Linked DNA regions of Oryctolagus cuniculus. The protein of the gene in region 1 binds, or shares a complex with, the protein of each later gene. Links are inferred from orthologs where the notes say so. Each region holds a gene or a part of one and is shown in the gene's direction. Other genes may lie near its edges.

The links. Proteins that work in one complex are often made in the same cells at the same time.
Region 2: POLR2K (region 1) and TAF1A share a complex: the UniProt entries of both Homo sapiens proteins name them as parts of the pol I pre-initiation complex. The link is inferred for Oryctolagus cuniculus from reciprocal best matches to the Homo sapiens genes POLR2K and TAF1A.

Annotation. Positions count from the first base shown.
Region 1 is NC_091437.1:125,592,557-125,596,647, forward strand, and holds POLR2K (DNA-directed RNA polymerases I, II, and III subunit RPABC4), read left to right. Parts: upstream 1-1,172; 5' UTR 1,173-1,875; intron 1,876-2,470; 5' UTR 2,471-2,479; coding exon 2,480-2,540; intron 2,541-2,835; coding exon 2,836-2,928; exon of another isoform or gene 2,929-2,959; intron 2,960-3,554; coding exon 3,555-3,577; 3' UTR 3,578-3,908; downstream 3,909-4,091. UniProt on the Homo sapiens protein: DNA-dependent RNA polymerase catalyzes the transcription of DNA into RNA using the four ribonucleoside triphosphates as substrates.
Region 2 is NC_091444.1:36,964,281-36,967,928, reverse strand, and holds part of TAF1A (TATA box-binding protein-associated factor RNA polymerase I subunit A), read left to right. Parts: intron 1-2,829; coding exon 2,830-2,999; exon of another isoform or gene 3,000-3,104; intron 3,105-3,648. UniProt on the Homo sapiens protein: Component of the transcription factor SL1/TIF-IB complex, which is involved in the assembly of the PIC (pre-initiation complex) during RNA polymerase I-dependent transcription.

The DNA of each region.
Region 1 (4,091 bases):
CAAATGGCCTCACTGGCCAGGACTTGGCCAGACCAAAGCCAGGAGTCAGGAGCCTCCTCTGGATCTGACACGTGTGTGCAGGGGCCCAAACAGTTGGCCATCCTCTGCTGCCTTCCCAGGCATACTAGCAGGGAGTGGGATTGGAAGAGAAGTAGTTGAGACTTGAACCACTGCCCATATGGGATGCTGATGTCACAGGCAGTGGCCCTACCTGCCACACTGCAATGCTGGCCCTAATACTATTATTTTATTACAGAGGCACAGAGGCAGAGAGTGAATCAGCTGGCTCGCTCCCCAAATGCACACAACAGCCCTGGTTGAAATCAGGAGCCAGTCACTTAATCCAGTTCTCCCATGTGGGTGGGAGGGAATCAAGTACTTGAGCCAGAAACTGCTGCCTCCCAGGACGGCCATCAGCAGGAAGCTGGAATTGAGAAGTGGAGCTGGGCTAGGCCAAACTCCTGCCCCCTGGAAAGACAGGGAAATCCCAGTTGAATGTCTCAAGTTGGTTTGTGGAGATGCAACCACACAGTTTTAACTTCTGGAAATGAAAGGTGAAGCTAAAGTTCTCAAGTTGATGGATGGAGTCCTACTTAATAAGATACCAAAGACACAGTGCATGTGGGGGAAGCAAGCCTGCTTCTACAATTAACTTTATAATAACTGTTAACAATTATTTCTGGGGCCAGAGCCGTGGCGCAGCAGGTTAACCCCCGGCCTGAAGCGCCAGCAGCCCATGTGGGCGCCGGTTCTAGTCCTGGCTGCTCCTCTTCTGATCCAGCTCTCTGCTATGGCCCGGGAAAGCAGTGGAGGATGGCCCAAGTCCTTGGGCCCCTGCACCCACATGGGAGACCAGGAAGAAGCTCCTGGCTCCTGGCTTAAGATCGGGCAGCTCCGGCCGTTGCTGCGAATTGGAGAGTGAACCATCAGATGGAAGTCCCCTCTCTCTCTGGTTCTGCCTCTCCTCTCTCTGTGTAACTCTGACTTTCAAATAAATAAATCTTTAATTATTTCTATAAAGTTGTAATAATTTCATTTTCTTAGCTCTGCTTCTATTCTAAGTAAAATATCTTTTGTGAAAGAAGTAAATGAATGTAAATGTTCGAATCTAATCGGCATTTATGCCACTGAATATTCTTTGAAAGAATGCAACTCCCACAAGCACGTCTTTTTTTTTTTTTTTTTTTTTTCTCCTAGGAATACATGGGACCAAGGGAGGGCCAGTGAACCGCTAAAGCTACCAAAATCCTTTAGCTTTAAGTGCGAGGTGTCGAGGGCGCTGCCCCGCAGGTGCGCCTGCACTGTAAAACGAGTAACAGGCGTGGAGGCGAGGGAGAAGCAAAGGGCTGGAGAGCAAAAACACGATCAAGCATGACAAGGACGGGAGGCGGCTGGCACACAGCCCCAGCACAGGTACCCAACAACCTGAAAACAGCCTAGAATGTGCTTTTCTACGGGGTAACAAAAAAAAAAAAAAAAAAAATCACTGGTTAACCGAGTCTAAGTCATCAGAGGAACGGCGCGTTCAGGATTCCACCGGCACTTGTCACCTCCGTCCCTCTTAGTCTCGGTCCTTCCGGAAAAGCGTTCATTTCCGCCAATCTCACGAGTCAGAAATACAAACTTCCTTTGAAGAACTGTTAAAATGATTTTCTTTCCTGAAAAATGAGAATAGCTAAGTGTTAAAAAATGTGCTTGATGTCCACAGAGTCCGTTGCGAGCAAGAAACTAGTTTTAGAGTCTTGCGCAAACTCGGTTTCCGGGCCGGGCCGGGGCGGAAGGGGCGGTGCTCGTCTTGCGTCACAAGCCAGCGCCGGAAGTTGACAGCGACACTGCGTGTTGGGAGCAGATGCGGAGTTTCTCCGTTCTACGCAGGTAAGGAGTTATGGGGCTGGGGTTTAGGTGTGGGTATTTGAGCCAAACCAGAAAGACACTTGGGGGCTAAGAAGGTCCAGTGCGAGGTTAGAGTCAGGAGATGCTGGTGGAGGAGTTGGTGCCGTCAGTGCTTTGCCTGGTTTCTTTTAGTTGAGCTGTTTAGCCATTGGGAATTATTTTAGTATTCTTCCCGGCGGTTAGTCTGTTCCGTTTTGGAGGGATATTCATGTGTTAGATGAGAACTCGAGTTTTGAGCCGAATCTGAATCCTTTTGCCTGCGCAAACTAGTATCTCTCAGCCTCGCTTTCTTCGTGTATAAAACAGGAGTGACACTTGAGGGTTGTTGTGAAGATTATAATGAAGGAACAAAATGCGGATCATTTTCTGTCGTGCCCAGTTTGGGGTCGACTCTCAGTACTTGTGTGTGTCTGTGTGGTTTGCCCCTTAGACCTAACTCCCAGGCACGGAGAAGAGCGCAGATGAGGGGGAACTGGGATCTCTTTCAGTTTTTCCTGAAAAAACAAGGGGAGGGAGGGCTGTTCGGGTTTGTGAGGAACCCCTTTGAAATACTGAGGATTTGATTCTGTGTTTGCAGGGACTGACAATGGACGCCCAGAAAGACGTTCAGCCCCCAAAGCAGCAGCCAATGATATATATTTGTGGAGGTAAGGATAACGCTACATAAAGTAAGAGTATTTTGCTTAATTTGTTTTTGAAATTATTACATTTATCCTTTGAATGAATGAGTCATTGGTGTTTAAAGTTATAAAGGAGCGCCTCGTAGCACCACTTAAAACTCTTATTTGCTCTGGAAAAACAGCATTGCCCACAACTCTCTTCTTTCCCATTTAGTATATTTTGTAATATCATACCCTTGCCTGATATGGTTAAGATAATTTGCCTGTCTGCACTGTTTTCCTTTTAAATTTGAGTAAGCCTTTTTTTTTTTTTTCTCCCTAGAATGTCACACTGAAAATGAAATAAAATCCAGGGATCCAATCAGATGCAGAGAATGTGGATACAGAATAATGTACAAGAAAAGGACAAAAAGATGTATCCTTTAACTCTACTTTTAAAATCTGAGGTAGGAGCCAACTGTAGAGTGATGCAGGGGTTGATAGACACTACTTCTGGTAGAAACCGTAAGAACTTTGGATTAATTAAAGAGATATTATTAGCATTTTTCATAGACAAGAACTGAAGCACTAAATAATTGAAATACTAGTTGATTTTGATTCTCATAAGTTTATTTTCCAGAGATTCTGTATTTACATAAGAACTGATTGTTCAGCTTGACAAATAAATTATACAAGGAGTAATACAAATATTGTGTATGCTACTTAGTAGGAAAAAGTGGAGCCAACACATGAGACTAAACACTGAGAGTGAGTTGTAATTTTCTAACATAACTTTTTTAAAATCACAAGTTATTACCTTTAGCATTCAGTGCTTTTTGATACATTGGGTTTTTTTTCATTGGTTGGGAAAAGTGCTAATAAAAATTGAAAGCTTTTATTTACTTTATATCTAGTTGTTGTAATAAATAGTGAATTCCAGGTCTTTGTGCATTTTAAATTAACAAACTAGCTTGTTGCACATGTAAAGTGATTTGGAAGTCTTCAGTCTTTTTCTGTAATTTTCAACTACATTTTTTTTTTCCTTAACTCAGATGAATACAGTGGTGGTCTTTGATGCGCGTTGAAATGTGCATTCAGAGGAATATCTTCATTTGTACTTGCATTTGCTGTTAATGTTTCTCATTGTTGTATGGCTTTTGGTTTAGCATCTTTTTGAACTACGTATGATTTCATTTTGAACCATATTGTATTTAGGTATCTTTTAATGTAAAGAAGTTAGATTACATGACTTATAATTTAATTTTATTGTTTATGTAATGTGACACAAATGAAGGTTAAAATTACTTTCTTAAACTATGCTTGCAAGCAGAACCTAGAATCATCTGGGGTCTTTGTGAAAAATGCAGATTTTTAGAGCCCTCTGAAAGTCTAATTAAATAAATTCCTTGGAAATCACTGTGTCATGAGATGTTTGTGAAATTTCCAGTGTCTTTGGTACAGAATGTAGCAGTGTGTTTGCTGTCAGCATACGTATGTCATTTTAAGTTCAGTTTTTCATATACTACATGTCCTGTGGTAAGTAATAGGCCTTTCTGTATACTGTATGAGTATTTTTCAAACCTTGGATGAGGAAAGGGA
Region 2 (3,648 bases), on another chromosome or scaffold:
TTGAGAATGAAGCTCACGTGTGATTTGAAAGCCAAGGCTTTTAATATATGCTGAGATATATTTAAAAATGAGCTAATATGTATTAAGTGCCTAGAATAGTGCCTCATGCACGTTATTGTTGAAAAAGAATAGTTCTGTTCCTCTGTTAATTTTTTTTTTGCTGTGTTAACACATCTGTTAGGTTTGAATGGTTGGTACTTCAGCAGGAATGCTCCCACATTGCTTGTAGGAAACGAGTAATTTGAACTTGTGCTAGTTAAGACATCTCTGGGCATGTTTTTGTCACTATTATTGTAGATCCCGAATCTGCAGACAAATAGAGTATACATGCATAAGATGTTTCATGTGCTATGTATGGATAGGCTATTAAATCCAAAGTACTTTCTTTTTTATTTTTTGACAGGCAGAGTGGACAGTGAGAGAGACAGAGAGAAAGGTCTTCCTTTGCCGCTGGTTCACCCTCCAATGGCTGCCACGGCTGGCGCGCTGCGGCCGGCGCACCGCGCTGATCCAAAGGCAGGAGCCAGGTGCTTCTCCTGGTCTCCCATGGGGTGCAGGGCCCAAGCACTTGGGCCATCCTCCACTGCACTCCCGGGCCACAGCAGAGAGCTGGCCTGGAAGAGGGGCAACCGGGACAGAATCCGGGGCCCCGACCGGGACTAGAACCCGGTGTGCCAGCGCCGCAAGGCGGAGGATTAGCCTAGTGAGCCACGGTGCCGGCCAAAGTACTTTCCGTCTTCTATGAGAAAATGTCTTTTTAAAGATTTATTTTATTTATTTGAAAGACAGAGTTACAGAGAGAGTTAGAGACAGATAGAGAGGTCTTCCATCCACTGGTTCACTCCCCAATTCACCGCAACGGCTGGAGCTTCTCCCGGGTCTCCCACATGGGTGCAGGAGCCCAAGGACATGGCCATCCTCTACTACTTTCCCAGGCCATAGCAGAGAGTTGGATTGGAAGAGGAGCAGTTGGGTCTCAAACTGGTGCCCATATAGGATGCCGGTGCTTCAGGCCAGGGCTTTAACTCGCTGCACCACAGCACCAGCCCCAAGAAAATATTTTGCACGTAATAGTGATCTTGTAGTAGAAATTAGCCATAATAGGAAAATAAAATTGCCAAACACTTATTTTTTATCCTGGGAGATTCTTTTGGCATTTTAAAGGATGTGCTCCTTAGAATAAAAAGTTTGAAGATAGGCAAATCTAGGTTAGAACTGTATACAGGGGCCAGCGCCATCTTTCACTGCTTTCCCAGGCCATAGCAGAGAGCTAGATTGGAAAAGGAGCAGCTGGGACATGAACTGGTGCCCATATGGGATGTTGGCCCTGCAGGTGGAGGCTTAGCTCACTACACCACAGTGCCAGCCCAGCCTAACTATTCTTTTTTTTTTTTTTTTTAAAGATTTATTTATTTATTTGAAAGAGTTACACAGAGAGAGGAGAGGCAGAGAGAGAGAGAGAGAGAGAGGTCTTCCATCCGATAGTTCACTCCCAATTGGCTGATCCGAAGCCAGGATCCAGGAGCTTCTTCCAGGTCTCCCACATAGGTGCATGGGTGTGGGGGCCCAAGGACTTGAGCCATCCTCTACTGCTTTCCCAGGCCATAGCAGAGAGCTGGATTGGAAGTGGAGCAGCTGGGACTGGAACCGGCGCCCATATGGGATGCTGGCGCTTTAGGCCAGGGTGTTAACCCGCTGTGCCACAGTGCTGGCCCCAAGCCTAACTATTCTTAAGATGGGATTACTAATGCTTTAGAGATAGAAAAATCTGTCTTCAACTGTTACAACTGAAAATGTGGCCCTTTTTTTTAAGATTATTTGTTTGAAAGAATTAGGAGAGAGGGCGAGGCAGAGAGAGGGAAAAAGAAAGAAAAATATCTTCCATCTGTTGGTTCACTCCGCAAATGGCTGCAATGACCAGGGCTGGACCAGGGTGAAGGCAGGAGCTAGGAAATTCATCTGGGTCTCCCATGTGGGTACAGGGACCCAAGCACTTGGGCCATCTGCTGCTGCTTTCCCCATGCACATTAGCAGGCAGCTGGAATTGGAAGTGGTGCAACTGGGACCAAAAGCTGGTCCTGGGAACTTGGTTCTTAAAAAACAAAATACCCTTTGGGATTTTTGGGACATTGGTAGTCTTTCTTAAAATGACCTGCTTGCTCTGAGTACCCGTGCTGTGTTTTTGAGGGCCTCTTTGTTAGACTTTCCACAGTTACTCAGTGCAAGGACAAAAAGATGATTGAATCAGGGCTGGCGCCGCAGCTCACTAGGCTAATCTTCTGCCTGCGGTGCCAGCACCCTGGGTTCTAGTCCCGGTTAGGGCGCCGGATACTAGTCCCGGTTGTTCCTCTTCCAGTCCAGCTCTCTGCTGTGGCCCGGGAAGGCAGTGGAGGATGGCCCAAGTGCTTGGGCCCTGCACCCGCATGGGAGACCGGGAAGAAGCACCTGGCTCCTGACTTTGGATCAGCACAGCCCACCAGCCATAGCAGCCATTTGGGGAGTGAACCAACGGAAAGGAAGACCTTTCTCTGTGTCTCTCTTTGTCACTGTCTAACTCTGCCTTTCAAAAAAAAAAAAAAAGATTGAATCTGATCGAAGGATTGGTGACTGGTGGCCCAAGAATGTCTAATTAGATTTTTTTAAATTTGATAAAACTAGTTGATATGGTACGGAAAGATTTGTTTCAGGTGAAGCTAGTTTTAGTACTGGGAATGGGCTGGGTCAGGTAATTCCTACTGTTAATACTTGTTTGCACTTCTGCTTATCAGAAGCAAGTTTTTTGGATAGTTGAAGTCCTTGTGAGTAAAAGCTCCTCTTGCTTCTTTGTAGTGATCGGAGGGAAAAAGAAGAAGGATTTTGCTCAGACAACAAGTGCTTGTTTACGTTTTATCCAAGAAGCTCTGCTGAAGCACCAGTGGCAGGAAGCTGCAGAATATATGCACAGCTATTTTCAGACCTTGGAGGATTCAGATACCTACAAAAAGCAGGCTGCGCCGGAGGTAAACAGAAGTCAAGTCTGATAGAAGAAAGGACAGATTCTGGAGTTCCTGCTTGCAGCTTCACTCAGTAGCTTGTGTAGGACAAGTGGACAAAAGTTACTACAAGTAATTCTGAGTGCAAAGTTTGTGTCTAGTACTTGTTAGCATTTTAGTATCTATTAGTCTATTTTAAAGGAGACTAAAAATTGTTTGAACTCTTAATTCTGAGATTCCCCAATATTAATTAATTAATTCATTCATTCATTCCAATAATACCTCCTCCTTTCCCTGTCTCATTATTTTCCCTGTAGGATGTTTCTCATCATCATATAAAAAACATTGTTATTTCTATCTGAAAATAATCACTTGACACCACTTTCTTTACAGACTGCTTGTTCTTAGTTTTCTATTCTCTGTTTCAGCAAAACTCCTTGAAAGACTTCTCTCTCTGCAGCTAGAGTAGTCCTTTTTTGGGGGACTCCAGTTTTATCAAGACCTAATTGGCCCATACAATTCATTCATTTCAGTTGCACAATTTTTTTTTTGACAGGCAGAGTTAGAGAGAGAGACAGAGAGAAAGGTCTTCCTTCTGTTGGTTCACCCCCAAATGGTCACTATGGCCAGCGTGCTGCACCGATCCGAAGCCAGGAGCCAGGTGCTTCTTCCCTGT